Linked DNA regions of Ovis aries. The protein of the gene in region 1 interacts with the protein of each later gene in a pairwise test. Links are inferred from orthologs where the notes say so. Each region holds a gene or a part of one and is shown in the gene's direction. Other genes may lie near its edges.

Region 1 (3,870 bases):
CGGCTGGACCACCAGGGACGTCTTTTTTCTTCCATTCTTGGTTTGAGGAAGTTTCCTTTCAGTGCCCTTACTTTGACTTTTGGAAGGCAAGGCTGCCACCCAAGCCGTTGTCAGCTGGGCAGCGCTGTGTGGGGTGCCTGGCACTGCCCAGGCTTCCCCTCCTGGCCGGTCTGTGAGCCAGAGGGGAGGCCAGTCTGGGGAGGTACAGGAGGTCACACTGCTGTCCCCACGGAAGACAGTTCACCCCGACGGTGTCGAATCCTCACTTGTGAGTCTGGGTGTGGCGTCACGTGTTGACGACCGTCTGTCACCATTTTCCTGGAATCTTTCCCCACGTTTGTATTAGGTTTTCTCATTATAAAAGTGTGTATGTGGCAAGATATTTTAGTCATGCAGAAGGCTGAAAAGCTCAAGTCCCTTCTAGAAGTGAAAACGTGGGATATTAAACTGCCAGATCCTGCCGAAAAAGAGAGTACCCGTTCCTACAGGGCGTCGTCTGAAGTGGGTCCATGGCCCCCATGCTTAGAAACGAGCTACCATTTCCGAGGCCTCACTCCCAAGTTGAGCATGTTCTCTTTCTCCGGCAGGTGGGCATCAACTACCAGCCCCCCACGGTGGTCCCGGGGGGAGACCTGGCCAAGGTGCAGCGGGCCGTGTGCATGCTGAGCAACACCACGGCCATCGCCGAGGCCTGGGCCCGCCTGGACCACAAGTTCGACCTCATGTACGCCAAGCGCGCCTTCGTGCACTGGTACGTGGGGGAGGGCATGGAGGAGGGCGAGTTCTCGGAGGCCCGGGAAGACCTGGCGGCGCTGGAGAAGGATTACGAGGAGGTGGGCGTGGACTCGGTGGAGGCGGAGGCCGAGGAAGGGGAGGAGTACTGAGGGGGGGGCGCGGCCGCAGCCCTGCACCCGGTCCCCCGACGGCCCCTTCACAGATGTTTCCCTATTAAAGTTTTTGTGTTGAGCATCATCTGTGTATTGCTTTGCGGGAAACGGTGTTCCTCCCCACGGCAGTGTGGCGGCAGAGCCGCACGTCTGTCTGACTCTGCCGAGCGTCACCGGGCGCGTTAACCCGGGAAGGAGCGGGGGCGGAACCGGGACGCGCGCTCCACCTACACACGTCGGGTCAGCGAGCTCCTCGGGGCAGGAAGCGGACCCGAGCGGGTCTGCGGATCGGGGCCCGCATCGCGCGCCCCGGAGCAGCGGCGCTGGAGCCACCCCCAGCCCAGGGCAATCCCCGCTGCCGGCACCACCCGGATGCGGGCGGCCTGGGCGAGGCCCGCGGCCCCTCCCGCCGCTTCCGGGGCCCGCCCCTCAGCGAGCGCCGCGCGCTTCCGCGTCTCTATGGTCCCGACTTCCGCGGCTCGGCAAACCTCGCGAGACCTCGGCGGCGCCGCAATGGCGAGACCGTGAGTGCCGCAGACAGGAGTCGGAAGAGCGGGCTGGGGCGGGACTCGGCGAGGTCGGGCCGGGGAGACTCTCCAGGCCGCGGCCGCCGGAGCGGGGCGGCGGCCTGGACCCCGGCGGCCGCTGAGACCGAGCGCCCGCCTCTGCCCCAGATGCCGCGTCACTGCTCCGCCGCCGGCTGCTGCACACGGGACACGCGCGAGACGCGCAACCGCGGCATCTCCTTCCACAGGTCGGCGCGCAGGGCCGCTTGCGCATGCGCCCGCCCCGCCGCCGCGCACGCGCCTTCGCGCCGGGGGCGGGGCTCTGGCGGGGCGCGCAGCGGGCGGGGGCGGCGCCTGCGCTGCGCGAGGATGCCGGGCGGGCCTGTCTCCCCGGGAGCGCGCGGGCTGGGTTCGCAGGAGGTCCGCGGGCGGTATGAGCCGGGCGCACCTTCCCGTCGCGCTCACGGGCTCGCGGCCCCCGCAGGCTTCCCAAGAAGGACAACCCGAGGCGGGGTTTGTGGCTGGCCAACTGCCAGCGACTGGACCCGAGCGGGCAGGGCCTGTGGGACCCGGCGTCCGAGTACATCTACTTCTGCTCCAAGCACTTCGAGGAGAACTGCTTCGAGTTGGTGGGAATAAGGTGAGCCTCCTGGCAGCCGGCGGTCGGGAGGGCGTGAACATGGGGCGGGTGGCCGGTGGGGAGGCCGCCGGAGTAGCAGGTCTGGTGCTTCCCACCTCGTCACCTCAGCTTCCGCTCCAGGCGGACCTGGGCAGCGAGACCCTAGCCCCACGCCTGCCGCACTGGCCACAGGCGGAGCGCGCTCCCTGCAGCCCCAGCCCTCCCAGCAAAGGCGCGGAAGAAACCCGTCCTTCTGCCTGCTGCTCCGGTGGTGGGGGGGCCCTTAACTTGGGAAACTCCCTGAACTCATTGTCGGCACGCTGCCTCCCACTTCCTACGGAGCCAGGGTGGCAGGCTGCTCTGCCGCCTGCAGTGTGGCAGGACTGTGTTCCGTCTCATCCAGACCACTCTCCCCGCAGTGGGTATCACAGGCTGAAGGAGGGAGCAGTTCCAACCATATTTGAGTCTTTCTCGAAGTTGCGCCGGACCAAGACCAAGCGGCACGGTTACCCGCCGGGCCCCCCAGAAGTCAGCCGCCTGCGGCGATGCAGGAAACGGTACGTGCTGTCCCGCTGTACAGCCCCGGAGGGACCGGCCTGCAGGGTGCTGGCCAGCAGCCTTCCTGGGCGCGGCTGGGAGCCTGTGGAGTGGGCTCAGGGATGGGGGTGAGCGGGGCTGTGAAGCGGGTCAGGGCGCGCTGCGCCTGGCCCGGCGTGTCAGTCTGTTTGTCTCCTCCCAGCTGCTCTGAGGGCCCGGGGCCCACCGCTCCATTTTCCCCTCCTCCACCTGCTGACGTCGCCTGCTTTCCTGTGGAAGAAGCCTCAGCACCTGCGGTCTTGTCTGCCTCCCCAGCCGGGAGGCTGGAGCCTGGCCTCAGCAGCCCCTTCTCCGACCTTCTGGGGCCCCTGGGCGCCCAGGCAGATGAGGCGGGCTGCAGCGCCCAGCCCTCCCCAGAGCGCCAGCCGTCCCCCCTGGAGCCGCGGCCCGCCTCGCCCTCGGCCTACATGCTGCGCCTCCCGCCGCCCGCCGGCGCCTACATCCAGAGCGAGCACAGCTACCAGGTGGGCAGCGCCCTGCTCTGGAAGCGGCGGGCCGAGGCCGCCCTGGATGCCCTGGACAAGGCCCAGCGCCAGCTGCAGGCCTGCAAGCGGCGGGAGCAGCGGCTGCGGCTGCGGCTGACCAAGCTGCAGCAGGAGCGAGCGCGGGAGAAGCGGGCCCAGGCCGACGCCCGGCAGACGCTGAAGGAGCACGTGCAGGACTTTGCCATGCAGCTGAGCAGCAGCATGGCCTGAGGGGCCACCTGGACAGGGAGCTGCCCTGAGCCGTGTCTGCCACAATAAAGGGGATCCTCAAAAGAAGCCCTGCTCTCTGGCTCAGCGGAGCGTTGGGGCCCCGCCCCCTGGGTACCACGTCCATCTCCCCCGACTGGCTATAGCCCGCTAGAGGGCTCGACCCTGCAGTCGCGGTGATCCCCAAGCCCCCAGGCTGGCCGAGGCCCCCCTCACTCAGGCCGTTGCCGAACTTCCTGTGCCTCCAGGTGAGCGCCCCTCGACCGAGCCTGTCCACCCACCCGCCACCCCCAGGCCCGCCAGTCAGGCTGGAGGTGTGGCAGGCCCTGTGTGGATCCTGGGGGCACAACCTGAGGCAGGAAACGAGCTTTAAGGCTCAGAAGACTGTTTTCCCCTAAGTGGCTTCCTGGCAGCCTGGGCACAAGAGCTGTTGTTCCCAGAAGGGGGGCAGAATGGTGCCTTACCCACTGGGATGGACGCAGGGCAGAGGATGGGGAGGCCCAGCCCCGCCCAGGCAGGAACCTCCAGGCAGCTCAGGAGTACGGCAGCCAGCAAGGGGCCAGGAGAGG
Region 2 (3,500 bases), on another chromosome or scaffold:
TGAAGGCGGCACGGGGCTCTGGATGAGGAAGCCGGGACCCGGGCAACCGGCAAAGCCCTGTGCAGTGTCCGTCTCCGGCTGAGGGGTCTGTGCCCGGCCTCCCCGGCCCAGGGGCTCAGACTGTGGAAGCAAGCCACCCCCTGCCCTCAGCCCCCAGGGTCATCACCCCGCCCCTGCCCTCACCCCCCGGGGTCTGCCCGCAGGTGGAGGTGAAGCGCCAGGAGGTTCAAGATCTGCAGCAGCAGCGGGACGAGTACCTGAACCACCTGCAGCATTACGTGGCCGCCTGCCAGCTGCATGTGGCCGCCTACCAGCAGCTGGCCTTGGAGAAGGAGGCGCTGCACAAGCAGATGCTACTGCAGACCCAGCTCATGGACCGGCTGCAGCACGAGGAAGTCCAGGGCAAGGTGGCGATGGAGGTGGCCCGCCAGGAGTTACAGGAGACCCAGGTGAGGGCGTCGGGACGCTGGGCCCCTGAGAGGGAAGGCCTGCGGCCTGTGTCCCTCCTCACTCTCTTCCCTGGCCCCTTAGGAGCGCCTGGAAGCTGCCAACCAGCAGAACCAGCAGCTTCAGGCCCAGCTGACCATCATGGCTGTGCCTGGGGAAGGTCAGTGGGGAGGCCTGGAGGGAGGACACTGGCCTGAGGAGCAGGGGGACGTCTGGCAGCATGGCACCGAGTTGTTTTTCAGCCCTGAGTTAGATGAGGCCATGGGGACGGTGGGTCCTCTTCCCCCGGCCACTGGCTAGCCCAGGGCTGCAGAGTGAGGTTGGGGGCAGAGCTGGGCTCTGAGCTTTCTTCCAGGCCTGCTCCGCCTCCGTGGTTGGGGGGGTCTGAAGACCCCCTGTCTGTCCCCAACAGGAGACGGACTGGACAGTGAGGAGCAGGATGAGGAGGCTCCAAGGCCTAAGCTGAGTGTGCCGGAGGAGCTGGAGAGCCGAGAGGCCCTGGTGAGCGGACCTCCCCACTCCTCGCCTGTCTCACTCCCCCCACCGCCACCCTACCCCATCCCCAGCGGTTCCTCTCAGACACTCTTCTTTGCGGTTTCTTCCCTCCATCTCTGGTCGTCCCCCAACCTCCCCTGGGAGCCGTGGTCAGCCAGCGTGTCATCCTCCAACCACAGGCGTGCGCCCCGAGACCCTGAGAAGAGGCATGTCTCTCTGCCTGCCCGCCCACCCCTCTCTGGTCCTGTGTGTCTGCCACAAAAGCACGTGTGCCCTCTCCCCCGCAGGTGGAATTTTTCCACTCGGCCTTGGCCAGTGCTGAGGATGAGCAGGCCCGGCTACGCGGGCAGTTGAAGGAGCAGAAGCTACGCTGCCAGCGCCTCTGTAACCTGGCAGCCGCAGCCCAGGATGGGGTGGAAAAGGAGGCCCCCGCCCCCAGGACTGGGGGAGACAGTGTGCCCGCGGAGGCGCACCAGGCCCTCCAAGTGGCCATGGACAAGCTGCAGGTGCGTGAGCTGCCCCCCAGTGGGGTCCAGGAAGGGTGGGGGCCCCTGTGGGCAGGTCGCTGCTGAGCCCTGACCCTGCCCTCTGGCGTTAGGGCCGCTTTACGGAGCTCATGCAGGAGAAAGTAGATCTGAAGGAGCGGGTGGAGGAGCTGGAGCATCGCTGTATCCAGCTATCTGGAGAGACGGACACTATTGGTGAGTGGGGAGGCTCGGCCCGGGGCGGGGGGCTGGATGCGGGCAGCACCACATTGCCTCTGAGCCACGTCTGCCCTCCCCACCTCCTGCAGGAGAATATATCGCCCTCTATCAGAGTCAGAGGGCCGTACTGAAAGCCCGCCATCAGGAGAAGGAAGAGTACATTAGCCGGCTGGCTCAGGACAAGGAGGAGATGAAGGTAGGGGTCCTTCTGCCCGTCTCTACAGGCCGGGGTGGGGTGCGGCGGGGCTGCTGAGTACTTCTCCCTCCAGGTGAAGCTGTTGGAGCTCCAGGAACTGGTTTTATGCCTGGTGGGTGAACGAAATGAATGGTATGGCAAATTCCTGGCTGCCCAGAAACCTGCTGGTGAGCCCACTACAGCACCCCACACCTGCCAGGAGCCCAGCACTGCTGACAATGAGGGTGGTGAGTAGTAGCACCCTTGGGGTACTGGAGGGCAGGCAGGGGTGAGCTGGCACACCACTCTAAGCTCTGCTGCCCTCTCTCCCCAAAGGCCTCCAGGAGGTGAGCCTCGCCGACAACGTGGAGCCCCCCCAGGGGGCCCTGCAGGGCCAGACCACCCCTGAAAACCCCACCGCGCAGCAGATCATGCAGCTGCTGCGTGAGATCCAGAACCCCCAGGAGCACCCAGGCTTGGGTAGCAACGCTTGCATCCCCTTCTTCTACCGAGCTGACGACAATGACGAAGTGAAGATCATGGTGATCTAGTGGCCTGACACCGGCAGGCAGAGACCACAGACATGGGGCCGGGGGCTTTGCCCCCACCTGTCCCTGCCTCCTTGTCCCTCTTTCCTCCCCCCCCCCCATCCCTAGACTAGCACGCTGAAACCCTTGAAGAAAGGGGTATAAGCCCCCCGTCAAATGAGGGGAAACAAACAGGTGCAGGCCCCTTGCCATCTTGGCCAGGGCTGTGTCTTGATATCTGGACTGCTACTAGTTCCAGAGAGAAACAAAGAGCCAGAGGCTCAATTAAAGGCAGTTTATTTAAGAGGCGGGCCTTCTTGGGGAGCAGGGGCTCCCTGGTGGCTTCCTCACCCCTACCAAGCAGTCCTTTCAGAGGGGCTCATGCATCCTCTATTCAGAGGCACTTTGGGGCCAAGTGCCCCCTCCTTGCCCAGCTTGACAACTGGGCAGCACTCTCACAGGCCTTGGGACAGTTGGGCAAATTGAGGCCAAGCAAGAACATAAGCTGGTGGCGGAGTGGGCTCCCTCCCCAGTGTTTATACTGTAACTCTGTAACATTTTGTATATTCTGGAGGTAGGGCAGCGCCCCTGTATCTCAGCAGAGGTTGGAGCTGGTGAATGGGGAGGAACTTCTATTAAATATTTGGGGCTGGGGAAACTTATTTATTAATAGTATAGGGTAGAGAGAGAAGGTGGAGGCGGGGACGGGTTTGTGCCCGGGTGATTCGACTCCTATTTCGTTTCACTTTTTATTTCTGAATAAATGAATTTAGCCATACTGCTTGTCCTGGTGTGTGCCTTTTTTCTGTCTCTGGGTCCTGGGGTCTGTGCCATGAGCACTGAACAGGGAGCAGGTCCTGCCAACAGAGGGCAGGCTTCTAGTTGTGCCAATCTCCAGGGTGTCTGGGCACATCCAGTGGGGCTGTTAGAGATCTTTTGAGGCCTGTCACCCACTGCTGCCTGGTGAAGCCTGGGGGACCCCAGGGGAACTCCAAAGGGGCTCTCAGGGGCCATCCTGCCTTAATAGCGGAGTGACTCGAAGTTGGATCTGATCTCAGGGAGGGAAAGCAGAGTGCCGCAGCACCAAGTGCTGACTTCCAGCTCAAGTGTCCATTCCATCACCCTGTCCCTCCACAGTGTCTGGCTGGGCCG
Region 3 (2,605 bases), on another chromosome or scaffold:
CTATGGCCTCCTGCCTCTAGAAAATTTTCCTTTTACTGCCTGAGGCGTCCCAGTGTCCCTTTTTATTTTTATTTTCTTGGCTGTGCTGCTGTGGGATCTTAATTCCCAACCAGGGGTCAAACCTGTGCCCCGTACGTTGGAAGCCCCGAGTCTTAACTGCTGGACCGCAGGGAAGTCCCCCAGTGCTCCTTTGTAACGTCCGTCCTGCCTTCTGTCCTCCCCAGCAGAGCCTGGAGGTAGACTTCCTCTCAGTGTGTGGGGGTAGGTAGAGGCCATGCCATGTTCATTATGTGTTCCTGTGTGTGTAGGGAGGGGGGTTACAGAGAAGGGGTTGTAGGACTGGGTAGGAGACCAGCTGCTCTTGAGGTCACCACAGGGTCATGGGGTGCATGCCTGTCATGGGTGTGTATGGCTCCGGCTGTGGTTGTGCATGCACGCTCATGCACACACGATTAGCAGGGGTTGCGGGCTCCTTTCTGAGTGAAGTGCTGCCCTGCCCGGAACCCTCCGCCCACCCCGCCCTGACGAGGAGGCCTCCCTTTGTGTCCCCCTTGCAGGCTACATCCAGAAGATTAAGTCTGGAGAGGAGGACTTTGAATCTCTGGCCTCACAGTTCAGCGACTGCAGCTCCGCCAAGGCCAGGGGAGACCTGGGTGCCTTCAGCAGAGGTGCGCAAAGAATGGGCACCCCTGAACCCCAGCAAGACCCTCTGACCCACTGGCACCTGCACCCCACCTAGAGGGATGGCCCGTGTCACACTGTCCCCTGGGGTCCACCAGGTGGCAGCAGAGTCCCTTCCTCAGGCTGCAGAGTCTTCTCCCCGGTGGTGGCATTTCTCTCGGGGTGGGGCATCCATCTGTGTGTGTCTCTGCTCAGTTGTCCCCATCACAGACCCACCAAGGTGGGTGCCTGCTGCCATTTCCCTCTCTTCCTGTTGAGGTGCAAAGCTGGGGCCCCTAAGAGTCCCAGAGCACATCCCCCAGAATCCTCTGCCCACCCTCCTGGGTGGAGAAACCAGGAGTGAGGGGAGGAGGGGGTCAGATCAGCAACCCTGCCAAGTTCAGGCCTCTCCACCTGGGACTGTGGGAAGGGAGGAGCAGAGGGAACCAGGCCGCCGCCGCCTCCCCCCTTCGTCCTGGGGTCTCTAGAGCATCAAGGAAGGGCCCAAAATAGGCTGAGGGGTGTTTGGGAGCCAGCAAGGGGCTGTGGGCCAGGGAGACCAGCTCCTCGGTAAAGCTCCTCTCTCAGTGCACAGAGGAGACAGCCACTGTGCCTCGTTCTTCATGCTGTCCTCAGCTTCCTGGGGCCTCCCTAATAGCCTTGCCACCCCCAGCTGCGCCCAGCTCAGGCGCCGTGGCAGGGCCGGAAAGTGCATGACGGATGAGTCAGAATGAGGGCCCTGGGGGCGCAGTGGGAGCCCCGTCTGCCCAGTCCCACCTGCAGGTCTGGACCCCACCCGCCACCTCTCCTGCTTCCTCCCCCAGGTCAGATGCAGAAGCCATTTGAAGACGCCTCCTTCGCGCTGCGGACAGGGGAGATGAGCGGGCCCGTGTTCACAGATTCGGGCATCCACATCATCCTTCGCACGGAGTGAGGGGTGTGGATGGCCCAGGCCTGGCCCCCTGGGGGAGACAGGTGGGACGGGGTGGCTGGGCCCGCAGACTCCGCTCCCTGCTGCCGGCCAACCAGTGGGGACCCCTCCCTTCTGTCACACAGTATTTATTGATCCCAGAATGGCTGGGAGGGGCCCCTTCACCACCGGGTGCTCCCTGTCCGCTCCTATTGGGGCTGTCCCTGCTAGACTCCCCTCCCCTTTAGGAATCGACTTCAGAAGGGCACAGGGTGGAGAGGCTCCCTGGGCTCCCAGGGCCAGGGTTGGGGGTGACCTGTCCCAAAGAGAAGGCCTAATTAGCTGAGCTGCCCCTGTGCCACCCCAGGTCCAGGATGGGGTCAGGTGGGCCTTGAGTTGTTGCTGGTTGGGCCGTGTTCCTCTGTTCAGTTGTAAAAAGCAGACGCTCTGCGTGGGGCCCAGGCTGCTGGCTGCTATGGGGCCTCTAAGCAGCCATGCAGCGCCTTCCCCACCCTTGATTAAACCTGGAACCACTGCTCTGCTGTCTGGCATTTCATTTCCCACCCCCAGGGCAGCGATCATCTCCCACCACCCCTGGTGTCAGGTGTCCAGGCCATGTTCCCTCCCTGGGAAGCTGCTCCTTTCCCTGGGCCTGGGGTGCTTCATAGCAGCAGCAGACTCTCAGGGAAGTGGAACAACCGCGGTCCTCAAACTTGGGTGTTCAGGAATGTTCCAGAATGCAAGGGCCCTGACCGCACAGCTCTGGGTTCAGCAGGTCAGGTGGAACAGGAGAATCCTCAGGGAACCCAAGTGAAGTCCCCGTTCACCCTTGGTGCTCTCGGTGCCGTGCCCCCCCAAACACACCCCACTTCAGTTGGAACAAAATACTCCCAACACTCCGATGCCCACTCCCCTGTCACCGTAAGCATTCTGCCAGGACCCGGGCACCTCTGCAGATGCTAATTCCATGGCAACGGGGGCCAGTGAGAGGGCACTGCCAGATGTCTCTGAGAGCAGGGGTCCTGCCCAGCCTTC
Region 4 (4,159 bases), on another chromosome or scaffold:
TATAGATAAACAAATGTTACTAGTTATCAAGTCTTGTCCATCATGCCATCTAAAGATTCCTCCTCCATTCAGGTCTAATTCTTTTCCAACTTCACAACCAGCCCCGGCCAGGACATTTTAGTTTCTTGCCTTCTACCTTGTCTCCTTGACTTCAGATATTTACTCCTTTAATTCTCCTTGCAAAATCCAGAGTATTTTTTCAAAAAAGGCAAATCTATTTTGTCTGTCTCTGATTTAAAACCCTTTCATGGATCAAAGCATACTAAAGAAAAGTACGTTACTTAAAGTTACAAAGATAACAAGCTGAAAAATAATGATAGAAATAGGGCCAATGGAAGGAGGGAAGCATAGAATGTGCAGTAAATCTTATGTATCATAATAGGAGGTCAGTAGACAATGTTTAAAATCAGGAGATGATGATAAAAGCCTATTGTGGAGCTATGAGTATAAACACCAGGAAAAAATAGCTAAAAGTGGTTGCCTCTGGGAAGTGGAACTAGATGTGGGAAAGGATAGGTCAGGGTAACTATCTTTTATGCCATGGACCAGAATTACTTGGATTAAAAACCAAAATCAAGCCAGAGCATAAAAAGTTTTTATGGATCCTCATTGCTCACAGAATAAAATCCAAGCATATTAAAACCACCTTTTATAAATCTGTTACTCAAAATGTGGTCCCTGGACCAGCCGCATGGCCATCAGCAGGGAGCTTGTTAGAAATGCAGAATCTCTGGCCCTACCCAAGATTTACAAAATCATAATCTGCATTTTAACAAGATTCCCAGATAATCCATATATGTACAGTATAAGAATCATCAGCTTCAATATTTTCTCCTCACTGGCCAAAAGAACTTGACTTCCTCTCCTTTAGTCTAAATTTAGTGGCTTGTGCGTGTGTGTGCGTGCGTGCGTGTGTGTGTGTGTGTGTGTCGGTGGCTAGTTAAATTCCAGCCACTGTTTTAGACCCAGCTCCTCTACTCCAGGGGCTTCCCTGGTGGCTTAGATGGGAAAGAATCTACTCCAAGAAGGCTTCCAAAACCCTCTGTAGCTCTGTTAGCACTCTTCCTTAAAATCCCACCTCCCTAACTGAGTGTGCTTAACCTTCCTTCAGCAAACATTCATTGGGCGCCTGCTGAGTGCCTGGCTGGACTCAGCGCCACAGTCGGGAGAAGGCGCTGAGTTGCCTTCAGGTGCATACTCAGCATCACCCAGCCTCACCCATTCCGGAGCCAGAGGTGTATGCGCAGCACCCGAAGATCCACACTCAACACACACATACCGAGCTCTGCGCCGCTTTTCTGAGTGTTACGGCGCCCTCCTCCCTCCGCGACAGAGTGCGGGCGGGGACCCACCGGTTCCGCCCGGCACTAGCAGCCGAAAAAGGAGGACCCCCCCCCCCCCGCCGGGAGCGGGATCCCGGCGTCCGGTTGCCCAATCCCGTTCAGGCTTAGGCCCGCATGGAGGGGACTGCGGAGTCCCAGACGCCTGACCTGCGAGACGTGGAGGGCAAGGTGGGCAGGAAGACCCCTGAAGGGCTGCTCCGTGGGCTGCGAGGCGAGTGGGAGCCAGGAACCTCTGGCGCTCTGCTGCTCTCCGGGGCCCCTAGCACGGGCCACAGCCTGGGGGACAAGATCATGGCGCTGAGGATGGAGCTGGTGAGTGGGGGCTGCACGGGCCAGTGGGACGGAGTCTCCAGCGCGGGGCCGGAAAGGATGGACTCGCGTACCCAGAGTTGGGCTGGGGAGGAGGGAGTTAAAACCACCTGCCTAACTCCTCAGTATTCCTACCAGATCAATCTTTAATCCTTGGGGTTCATTAATTGCCTTCCCCACCAAGGGTGAGTGGAGTATTGACTCCGGGTGGGAGGTGCAGGATTTGGTAAGTTGTGTGTGTGTTTTTTTTTTTTGCCAAATAATTGGGAGGGGAGAGGTACGGGTTGGGAAGCCCTGAGAACCTAGGACGGCACAAATCTAGCTCCTCCTTTCCCCCTAGCCACCATTACAGGGCAACAGTTTTTTTCTCCTCCTCCAAACTGGGACCGGGGTTTGTTCCTCTGTGGCTCCAGTATCCACCCCAACACTCTGCACAGAAGCGATTTGCGTGAAAACTGCCTGGACTAGGGCCACTAAAAACATCCTCTTTCCCTAGCATCCCCCACACCCACGGACAATATTTGAAAGTTCCTAGGAGCTTAGCAGACACGGAGGAGCAGCACCAGAGTGTTGACCTCACCTCCTCAGACCCTGTCTCCTTCCTGCCAGCCCCCAAGTACACTGGAGATTTGCATCTCATCTGCACTTCCTTGGGGAGAAGAGGAGGAAACCAGCACCGAGCCCCTTCCCTGTTGCTGCTGCTCTAGATTCAGAGCCAAAAGGGCAGTTGGGGCCTCCCAGGCTCCCTAGGGCCCTGGTTCCGGTGAAGGGGGTGATCTACACCTGCCACCACTTTGCAACCAATTCTAGGGAACTGAGGAATTGCCAGCTACCTTCTGGCCTAGAACCAGGAGCCCACAGTGAGTGTGTCAGCTAATAGGTCTTCCTGGAGCCCCACTGTGCCCAGTTCTGTGCCATGCTGAGGGGTGTGTGTGTGTGTGTGTGATGCTGAGGGGTGTATGTGCCATGCTGAGGTGTGTGTGTGTGTGTGTGTGTGTGTGTGTGTGTGTGTGTGTGTATGTATGTAGGGAGACGTTGGGAGGGAGGTCTTGGGACTTCCTGAAAGGATGGGAGGAGAGTTTCGTGGGCAAAGCAGTCAGGGAAGGCTCCCTGGGGGAAGGATTTGAATGCCATGTGTGCATTTGGCCTTGAAGGTTGGAAGCTATTGCCAGATTCTCCCCAGTAGGGTTGTAACTGTGCCCACCTAAGGGAGGGGTCTGGCTTTGCCTCACTCTACAAACTTTAGCTTAGGGCAGAGAAAGAGCTAACTTAGAATGTCTTGCTTTGGAAACTAACTTTCACCAAGTGCATGTGCCAGGAATCATGCTGAACATTTTACAAGATAGTCTCCTAGTTCTCATGGAAACTTATTAGGTAAGGGATATTTTATAGATGAAGAAACTGAGGCACAGAGAGGCTAAGTAGCTGTCCAAAGTCAGACAAAAAGTAGAAAGTATAGCCAAGTTTTGAATTCAGATGATTTGCCTGCACTTTACATTTTCAGTATTGAGACCTGCTTTGTGCCAGATGCACTAAATGTCTTTTATGTCACTGGAGGGAGAAAAGCAGTTATCGTTTTCCCCTCTCACAGAGGAAACAGGCTTGCAGGTGCTGAGGGGCTTGCCTGAGCTCGCACGGGGAGGAGCCATGGCTGGTCTCTCTGGCTTTAACTCTTTCCTGTCTTTGGTGGAGACTGCGTGTGTGCTAAGTCACGTCAGTCGTGTCCGACTCTTTGTGACCCCATGGACTGTAGCCTGCCAGCCTCCTCTGTCCATGTGATTCTCCAGGCAAGAATACTGGAGTGGGTTGCCATGCCCTCCTCCAGGAGATCTTCCTGACCCAGGGATCGAACTGGGGACTCCTCAGTCTCCTGCATTGCCAGGTGGATTCTTTATCACTGGCACCACCTGGGAAGCCCTGGAGGAGATTACCTATCGGTAAACTTGAAAGGATAAGTTTCTCTTTTGTTTGGGTCTTTCTGCATTCCTGACCCAGCCCGGCCTGGGGCCCAAGGCTCCCTAAGAAAGACACAAGGGAGGGAGCCTTCTGGTCCTGCTCAGGGAGAGGTTCCCCAAGTGCCCTGCTCCATTCCTTTCCCCTCCCCTGCAAAGGTGCCTTTGGTCTCTATGTACTCTGCACTGGGGAGGGCAAGGGGTGGGGCATTTGCGGGGAGAGGGTTCCCCTGGAGCCACTTGTGGCAGAACTAGTCCAAGCCCTGTAAGTAGTGTCCTTCAACTGCCCCTCACCCAGCTTTCCTGCAGGGAGTGGGCAGGCCTGTCCTTGAGGCCAAGGTCATCCCTGCCTCTTGGCCACTTCCCTCCCCTACTTAAAAGTTGAGTGAACCAGACAGACTCTGGGATCTGTGGGAAGGGAAAACAATGGCAACCTCCCATACTTAATCCTCCCACCCACAGAACTGTTGCTATGGCAACCCACCCCCACAGAACAGTTTGAGAAAAAGCTTTAGGCAGAGAGAGAGAAGGCATGGGTTCAAGTCCTGGCTTTGC
Region 5 (3,500 bases), on another chromosome or scaffold:
TAACGCAGCTGTTCGGGGGCCCGGCCTCCTCCTCCTCTTCCTCCTCCTCCTCGGCTGCCGACAAACCCCTGATACTGAGTGGCTGGGCCAGCGGCTGCCCATCGGGGACTCTGTCTGACTCTGGCCGAAACTCATTGTCCAGCTTGCCCACTTACAGCACCGGGGGTGCCGAGCCGGCTACCAACTCCCCAGGCGGGCACCTGCCCTCCCACGGTCCTGGGCGGGGCGTCCTGCCGGGGCCAGCCCGAGGAGCCCCCACCGGGCCCTCCCACTCAGACAGCGGCCGATCTTCCTCCAGCAAGAGCACAGGCTCCCTGGGGGGTCGCATGGCTGGGGGGCTCTTGGGCAGCGGTCCCCGGGCCTCCCCTGACAGCAGCTCTTGTGGGGAACGCTCCCCACCACCGCCCCCACCCCCTCCACCCCCTTCGGACGAGGCCCTGCTGCACTGTGTCCTGGAAGGAAAGCTCCGAGACCGGGAGGCAGAGCTGCAGCAGCTGCGGGACAGTCTGGACGAGAGTGAGGTGACCATGTGCCAGGTGTGGTCAGTGGCAGTGATGGGGGTGGCATGGCAGGACATCCACAGGTGCTGGGCATACAAGATGCATTTCTGTCTGTCAAGAGGCAGGTGTTGGGCTGGTGACCCCCATCCCCACCCCAGCTGTCTGGCTTAAACTGTAGAGTGGTTAACACGGCACCACCATATACTGTCTTTCAGACTTGAGCACGTTACTCAGTTGTACTGAGCCTCAGTTTCCTCACCATAAATGGGGATATTCCTGACCTGAGGGTTATCATTAAGGATTAAGCAGGGAAAAGGGTGTAAAGTGCTTAGATCAATGCCTGGCACCTGGGAAGTCCCACACGCTTGCTATTGTTGTCTTTTCATAAAAGTAGTTGTTACTGTTGGTATCCTAGTTATTGTCACTGTTGAATCCACCTTCCCTGAGCCCAGGACAGTGGGCCACCAGGGCAGTTGGTGACTGGGGTGCTGGGGGTGGCCAGGGTTCGAGGTGTGGGGGAGCCTCCAGGACCCAGGCCTGCCCTCTCGCCCGCAGGTGTACGAGGAGCGGCAACGGCACTGGCCCCGTGAGCGAGAGGCTCTGCGAGAGGATGGTGTGGCCCGGGCCCAGCGGGCCCAACAGCTGCTGCAGCTTCAGGTGTTCCAGCTGCAGCAGGAGAAGCGGCAGCTGCAGGACGACTTTGCGCAGCTGCTGCAGGAACGTGAGCAGCTGGAGCGGCGCTGCGCCGCCTTCGAGCGGGAGCAACGGGAGCTCGGGCCACGGCTAGAGGAGACCAAGTGGGAGGTGAGCTGTACCAGGAGGAGCAGGGAGCAGGGCCTTCAGTGAGGGGGTAAGGCTTGAAAGGAGGGGCCCAGCCACATCCCTTCACCTGCCATCCCCAGAGGGCCTCCCCTTGCTCACCTTTGTGAGATGAGGCTCCGCCCTCTGACCTCCCTTTCTGGGTAGGGGTCTCCTTGGGGGCCTCCACGTTCGTTCTCCTCATGGCTCTGCTCTAAGTGCTCAGGTAGCCAGTGACATTCCCATCCACTGCCTTCCCACCAATGGTAAGAATGAGAATGTAGTGCTTACTCCTTGACAGGTACTGCTACTCGAAGCATGTAACGTAGAGTATCGTCTAATCCTTGTAATAACCCTGTGAATTGGGTGCTGTTCACACCCTCATTTCGTCGGTGAGGCAAAGGAGACCCAGAAGGGATGGAGCCTGAGATCACACTCCACACACAGTGGCGGAGCTGAGATCTGAACCCAGGCAGTCCGGCTCTAGTTAGCATCTATGCTTTCCACCAAGATACTGTTGTGCCTCCCAACTGGAAATGCAGCCACTGCCCTTTGCTGCTTCCACTCCTGCCAAACCCGCATGAAGCTGGTGTTTCATGATGGTTTAAAGACCCCAGCTTTGAAACCAGAATAAGATCTGGGTCTATATTCCACCTTAGCCAATGAATAGCTGCCTCAGTGTCTTCATCTGTAAAATAGGTACAGTGATCAAACTGCCTCTCCCCAAATGCCCAGCTTGATGTCAGGGCCTGGCCACCTGGGAGAACCTTCTCACCATCTTTTCCAACTGTCTCCTACCCCTAGGTGTGCCAGAAGTCAGGTGAGATCTCCCTGCTGAAGCAGCAACTGAAGGAATCTCAGGCAGAGCTGGTACAGAAGGGCAGCGAGCTGGTGGCCCTGCGCGTGGCACTGCGGGAGGCCCGGGCAGCGCTTCGGGTCAGTGAGGGCCGGGCACGGGGCCTCCAGGAGGCGGCCCGAACACGGGAGCTGGAGCTGGAGGCCTGTTCCCAGGAGCTGCAGCGGCACCGTCAAGAGGCTGAGCGGCTGCGGGAGAAAGCTGGGCAGTTGGACAGTGAGGCCGCCGGACTCCGGGAACCCCCTGTGCCACCTGCCGCTGCTGACCCATTCCTCCTGGCAGAGAGTGATGAGGCCAAGGCACAACGGGCCGCCGCCGGGGTCGGGGGCAGCCTACGGGCCCAGGTGGAGCGGCTCCGGGCGGAGCTACAGCGGGAGCGGCGGCGAGGCGAGGAGCAGCGGGACAGCTTCGAGGGGGAGCGGCTGGCCTGGCAGGCAGAGAAGGAGCAGGTGATCCGCTACCAGAAGCAGCTGCAGCACAACTACATCCAGATGTACCGACGTAACCGGCAGCTGGAGCAGGAGCTGCAGCAGCTCAGTCTGGAGCTGGAGGCCCGGGAACTCGCGGACCTGGGCCTGGCGGAGCCAGCGCCCTGCATCTGCCTGGAGGAGATCACTGCCACCGAAATCTAGGGCCTTAGCACCCGCCTCTGCATGGAGGTCTACTGAAAGCAGGCAGCAGCCTCAGATCCCCCGAGGGTCCCAGAGTCTGAGGGCCCAAGGGCCTTTAGTCCCTGGGGTGCAGGCCTCTGGGCCTCTGCCAAGGACTCAGGGCTGCCCGATGACTTGGATCAGACTCCCTGAAGGTCCCTGTGTCCACTGTTACACAAAGGCTCCTACTCACTCCACCTATTTCATTCACTCCCCAAATACTGCCATTGCTACTCTGCCAACCCCACACACCCCCAGCACTCCCAGCCTGTTCAGCCAGGGGGCTTGGAAAAGGAAGGGGCTCCCTCATCTCCACATGCTCCCCACCATCCCAAAGCCAGAGTGAGCCAGATAGCGCCAGCTGCTCCAGATGTGCCTGCCCCCAACCCTGCCCATTTTGGGGGACAGGGCTGGGACTGGGGTCTGATCTCCAGGTCCCAGCTCTGCAGCCCCTCTCCTGGGGAGAGGGGGCTGTAGTCAGACCAAAGGAAGAACTCAGAAATGTTTATTTGTGTTTGTGACCAAGTGGCCCCTCCCCACACCCAGGTTTTTGGCCTCGTTTTTCACTTGTATATTTTTCACATTGTAAATTTCTTGTACAAACCCAAAGAAAAAAATTAAAAAAAATTTTTTTTTGTTTTTAAAAAAGGATGAGTGTGGTGGATAAAGATTAGGGGAACTTGTTTGACCCCCGTG
Region 6 (4,132 bases), on another chromosome or scaffold:
TATTGATATCCAAGTTCCCCCCTCACGCTACCCCCCCAAAAAAAGTACTGTATATATATGTATGTGTGTGTGTGTTTGTACATAGACATATGTATTCATTTCTACCTTAAACATTTGAGAGCTTCAACAGAAATGAAATGACACTTGCCTTTAAGATGAACAAAAGGATGCAGGCAAATAAACAACTAAGGACACAAGTGTGATTAAAGTATAAAGTATCAGTTAACCCCCAAGAGAGCAAGCAACATATTTTTAGGAGCCACCAATAATATGTTAGTGAGACCTGACCCCACCAGGGCTTAATAAGCTAATGGTTCTGTTCTGTTCTTTCCAGCTGGTGTTTTTTAACATCCCCTTGATGGGTTACCTGTGTTGGATTTTGCTGCAGCGGTGCTTTGGTCACAGCTTCAGGTCTCATCTCCATCAAGGAAAATACTTGAAAATTATACCTGTTCACCTACTTATGTTACTGCTGTACATCTGGCATATTTATTCCTGCTACTTTCTTCACGTGACATATGGCACTCTAGCTTTTTTATTCTCCCCTTTACGGACCTGGTTGACACTGGCGACACCTGTTCTCATTCGTTGTGTTTGGACAGTGAACTCTGCTAAGCTTGGAACCTTCATAGTGCAGTTAAAAAGCCATTTGAGCTCCTGAAGTCTGTATCTCCTCATCCACCTCTGTAGCCCAGGCCTCTGCCTCAGCAGCAGGTAAAAGGCCAGTATTGATGGGCAAACATCAGGGAGCTGCTGTTCCTTGGACACCTGGGAGTTGGGGGGAATTACCTACTACTGATTCTTGCAGAATGGACTGCAGAAAACTATATAATGCCGTGATTCCTCCCTTCCTCAAGAAGGTAAAGGGTTGATTTACTTTTGTGAAGAGAAAGCTTTTATCTAGGAGATCCACAGGGCAGGGGCTGGTGGATAAGGGAGTATCTGAGGCCCACTCAGTGTGTTTTTTAGATACCTCATGTAAAGTACCTAGCACAGTGTCTGGAACTTGGCAGCCTGTAAGGAGGCCACTTTAGGGACAGGGAACGTGCAAACTTGGACCTGACCCTGACTACCCTTGTTTAGTTCCTAGTCCTTTTTTCGACAGGATTATGGGCTCTCTGCTTCCTCAGTCGGGGGTGTTTTCAACTAATCAAATACCAATAAATGAATAAGAAACAACTCGGTCTGGGTCTTGCCTGTGTCGCTAGGAGCGGGAGCGAGGCGGGGCTTTTGAGAGCGGAAGGGGTGTGGCTGGGCTTCCGAGGCGGGGCAGGTTGTTGCCGGAAGCGAAACCGTGGCCTGGAAGAGGAGCTGCGACAGCGGTGCGGCTCCGGAAGCTGTTGTGGGGGCTTGGTCCGCTGGCTCCAAACGCGGTACTGGGATGGAGAGCGCAGCTGTATCTGCAGCCCCAGACCCCACCCTGGATCCGCCTCTGGAACAGCTTCGGCACCTAGCCGGGGAGCTGCGGCAGTTGCTTCCTGGAGTGCGGGGTGAGCTGACTTAGTGAGGCCGGGTGACCGCAGGGGCGGGCTTGGGTGGGAAGGAGCCAGGCCTTGGCGGCCGCGGCGCCGGGTCCGGGCAGAGGAGGTGGGTCCGGGAGGTCGTTCCGCTTACCTGTGCTCTTTCGTTTGTCGCCGTCCGGCGCACACCCCGCACCCACTAGTCGGCGAAGCCCAGGAAACCACCAAGGAGTTTGATCGGGAGGCCTTTTGGAGAAGACTCAGTGAGTGCCTCTCCTATTGGAGACTGCTGTCTCTCATCTCTTCCCTACTCCTTTCCTTCCTGCTTCCCCCCCGCCCCAGCCTCTCTGCGGGGATACTCCTTACCTATCCTTGGTATCTCCGAGGTTGAAATATAAAACACTGATTTTTGGAGGTGTTTTTGAGACGTCTCAGCGGGCATGGGTGGAGAGGGAACGCATTATCTTCAAGGTCCGTGCAGCCGTTGCAGCCTTTTCCTTTTGGCACTAACATATTGGCTCTTGCCGCCTGCTCTGTCACTCCCCCAGATGAGGCAGCTGTGACAGTGTCAAGGGAAGCCACGACTCTGACCGTAGCCTTCTCTCGACTTCCGCTGCCGTCTCCACAGGTGGGCTTCACTTTTCTAGGATTCTTGTGCTGCTCAGTATTCCTTAAGAAGCCTCTCATTTTCTTTCCACCTTTTACACTCAAATCTGGGGATTTAATTTCCTCATCTGTCGAGTAAGGTGAAGGTTCTCACTCCACAGGATTGTTCTGAAGATCAAATTGTCAAATGCAGTAGTTGTCATGGGGTAGATGGCTCTTCTAAATATTGGTTCATTCTGAGGTCCATCCTGGTTATTTCCTTTCTGGCATTTTAAAATATACTTTCTATTTGCTAAGTGTTTTCACATACATGATCCTTTTCTGACAGATGAACAGGCAGGCTCAGAGGCTCAGTTTAAGGTAGATAAGTAGTGGAGCTAGGACTTAAATTAGGTTCTATCTGATGTTTGAGCTCCACCTTTTCTATTATACTACATAATACTCTTTTGTACTGAATTATTTTTATGCTATTATATATATTATATATTATTATATTTATATATAATAATGTAGACAGTATAAGGTTCAAAAGATATCAAAGTTAAATGTGCTAAAAAGCTTATATCTCCTGTCTTTGGTTCCTTTTGTATCATTCCATATATATGCTATGCATATTCACACTTAAGTGCATATGGCTGCTGCTTTTTACACAAGTGATAATAGTTTCTGTTGAGAAATCAGCTGGTAACCTTATGGGAGTTCTCTTGTATGTTATTTGTCACTTTTCCCTTGTTGCTTTTAATATTTTATCTTTGTCTTTAATTTTTGTCAATTTGATTACCCTGTACATGCTCAGGACAGTGGTTTTTTCATTCGTAGATGAAAAATTAAAATATGGCTTTATATGAATTATATATATTTGAATCACAGTTGCTTTCTTAGGATCTCAGCACATTAATTCTGCCAAAGAATTTTTTTTTTTTTTTTGATTCCAGTCCTTACAACGTGGTATTTTTACAAAATTATATGTTTGGATGTTGAAACAATGTCACATTGGTGTAAAAGTTTCTGAGTACTCTCAATCTTTGTACCTATCCATCTCAGACTGGTGACAGATCATTTATGGACTGGCACCATCTGTAGACCACATTTTGCATAGCACTGGCTTGGAATTTAGCAGAGCAGTGAGGACAAGGAAGATAAGGGAAAGCCAGTGACTGCCTAGAAGGAAAATAGTCAGCATTGAGCATTGTAGAGTCCATGCTAATTTCCTTTAGGTATACTGAAATTCTGTTAGAGACAGAGGCAGAGAGATAGACAACTGGTTAATGGTCTAAGATAGAGCTGACAACTTTTCTGTCAAAGGCCAAATAGTAAACATTTTAGGCTTTGCAGTCCAGCTACTCCACTCTGCCTCTGTAGTGTGAATACTATTATAGACAATTTGTAAACGCATGAGTGTGGCTGTGTCCTAGAAACATTTTATTTGCAAAAACGGGCAGTGAGCCTGATTGGGCCCTTGGGCTCTAGTTTGCCAACTCCTGGTCTAAGATATGGTGAATACCTCAAAGCTGATCACAGATATCTTGGGATATAGAGTATCAGGGATGTTTTTCCTACAGTTTCTTCTTGTCTTACTGAGTTTCTGCTCAGTACTTGGTATCCAGCTAACTCCTCCCTGGTATGTGATGAGAACAGCACAGCCTGATGCATAATAGGACTTCAGAAAATGTTTGATGATGCTGTACAGATGTCTGCTCTTTTCCCCTGTAGATGGCTTGACCACATCAATCTAATCCATTTCTTTTTTTCTTTCTGAAATTGGCTTATCATCTCCTAGGAAACGCAGAGGTTCTGTGAACAAGTGCGTGCTGCCATCAAGGCAATTATTGCAGTGTACTATTTGTTTCCCAAGGATCAGGGTAAGCCACTCCATACACATAAGTGTTCAGTTTATGGGGTAGATCTTTGCTATTGTGACAGCTTATGTCCTGAGAATTTTACCTTTTCCTCAATTTGATCATGTAATGTAACTTTCTCCCATTAAGTGCAGTCAAAGGTAGTTATATAAGTGACCTCCATAAGTAAGCCTTTGTGCTAAAGTTCAGATACTGTGTTCTCATGTC

What was found.
Region 2: the proteins of THAP7 (region 1) and GOLGA2 interact in binary tests that used the Homo sapiens proteins (3 or more experiments, as listed by UniProt). The two-hybrid records come from large-scale screens. The link is inferred for Ovis aries from reciprocal best matches to the Homo sapiens genes THAP7 and GOLGA2.
Region 3: the proteins of THAP7 (region 1) and PIN1 interact in binary tests that used the Homo sapiens proteins (3 or more experiments, as listed by UniProt). The two-hybrid records come from large-scale screens. The link is inferred for Ovis aries from reciprocal best matches to the Homo sapiens genes THAP7 and PIN1.
Region 4: the proteins of THAP7 (region 1) and LURAP1 interact in a two-hybrid assay, tested with the Homo sapiens proteins (2 studies listed by BioGRID and IntAct). The two-hybrid records come from large-scale screens. The link is inferred for Ovis aries from reciprocal best matches to the Homo sapiens genes THAP7 and LURAP1.
Region 5: the proteins of THAP7 (region 1) and LZTS2 interact in binary tests that used the Homo sapiens proteins (3 or more experiments, as listed by UniProt). The two-hybrid records come from large-scale screens. The link is inferred for Ovis aries from reciprocal best matches to the Homo sapiens genes THAP7 and LZTS2.
Region 6: the proteins of THAP7 (region 1) and CCNDBP1 interact in binary tests that used the Homo sapiens proteins (3 or more experiments, as listed by UniProt). The two-hybrid records come from large-scale screens. The link is inferred for Ovis aries from reciprocal best matches to the Homo sapiens genes THAP7 and CCNDBP1.

Annotation. Positions count from the first base shown.
Region 1 is NC_056070.1:72,373,248-72,377,117, reverse strand, and holds THAP7 (THAP domain-containing protein 7), read left to right. Parts: upstream 1-1,371; 5' UTR 1,372-1,411; intron 1,412-1,561; coding exon 1,562-1,641; intron 1,642-1,877; coding exon 1,878-2,033; intron 2,034-2,431; coding exon 2,432-2,569; intron 2,570-2,751; coding exon 2,752-3,304; 3' UTR 3,305-3,370; downstream 3,371-3,870. Other genes in the region: tubulin alpha-3 chain, read left to right, coding at 588-884. UniProt on the Homo sapiens protein: Chromatin-associated, histone tail-binding protein that represses transcription via recruitment of HDAC3 and nuclear hormone receptor corepressors.
Region 2 is NC_056056.1:8,025,803-8,029,302, forward strand, and holds the end of GOLGA2 (golgin subfamily A member 2), read left to right. Parts: intron 1-203; coding exon 204-449; intron 450-531; coding exon 532-607; intron 608-859; coding exon 860-948; intron 949-1,229; coding exon 1,230-1,448; intron 1,449-1,540; coding exon 1,541-1,643; intron 1,644-1,735; coding exon 1,736-1,842; intron 1,843-1,915; coding exon 1,916-2,069; intron 2,070-2,157; coding exon 2,158-2,372; 3' UTR 2,373-3,126; downstream 3,127-3,500. UniProt on the Homo sapiens protein: Peripheral membrane component of the cis-Golgi stack that acts as a membrane skeleton that maintains the structure of the Golgi apparatus, and as a vesicle thether that facilitates vesicle fusion to the Golgi membrane.
Region 3 is NC_056058.1:12,295,884-12,298,488, forward strand, and holds the end of PIN1 (peptidyl-prolyl cis-trans isomerase NIMA-interacting 1), read left to right. Parts: intron 1-557; coding exon 558-668; intron 669-1,484; coding exon 1,485-1,594; 3' UTR 1,595-2,105; downstream 2,106-2,605. UniProt on the Homo sapiens protein: Peptidyl-prolyl cis/trans isomerase (PPIase) that binds to and isomerizes specific phosphorylated Ser/Thr-Pro (pSer/Thr-Pro) motifs.
Region 4 is NC_056054.1:20,793,500-20,797,658, forward strand, and holds the start of LURAP1 (leucine rich adaptor protein 1), read left to right. Parts: upstream 1-1,359; 5' UTR 1,360-1,457; coding exon 1,458-1,655; exon of another isoform or gene 1,656-1,661; intron 1,662-4,159. UniProt on the Homo sapiens protein: Acts as an activator of the canonical NF-kappa-B pathway and drive the production of pro-inflammatory cytokines. Promotes the antigen (Ag)-presenting and priming function of dendritic cells via the canonical NF-kappa-B pathway.
Region 5 is NC_056075.1:21,603,285-21,606,784, forward strand, and holds the end of LZTS2 (leucine zipper putative tumor suppressor 2), read left to right. Parts: coding exon 1-536; intron 537-1,055; coding exon 1,056-1,304; intron 1,305-2,102; coding exon 2,103-2,786; 3' UTR 2,787-3,452; downstream 3,453-3,500. UniProt on the Homo sapiens protein: Negative regulator of katanin-mediated microtubule severing and release from the centrosome. Required for central spindle formation and the completion of cytokinesis.
Region 6 is NC_056060.1:36,639,191-36,643,322, forward strand, and holds the start of CCNDBP1 (cyclin-D1-binding protein 1), read left to right. Parts: upstream 1-1,332; 5' UTR 1,333-1,381; coding exon 1,382-1,490; intron 1,491-1,663; coding exon 1,664-1,723; intron 1,724-2,008; coding exon 2,009-2,088; intron 2,089-3,846; coding exon 3,847-3,928; intron 3,929-4,132. Other genes in the region: TMEM62 (transmembrane protein 62), read left to right, coding at 335-661. UniProt on the Homo sapiens protein: May negatively regulate cell cycle progression. May act at least in part via inhibition of the cyclin-D1/CDK4 complex, thereby preventing phosphorylation of RB1 and blocking E2F-dependent transcription.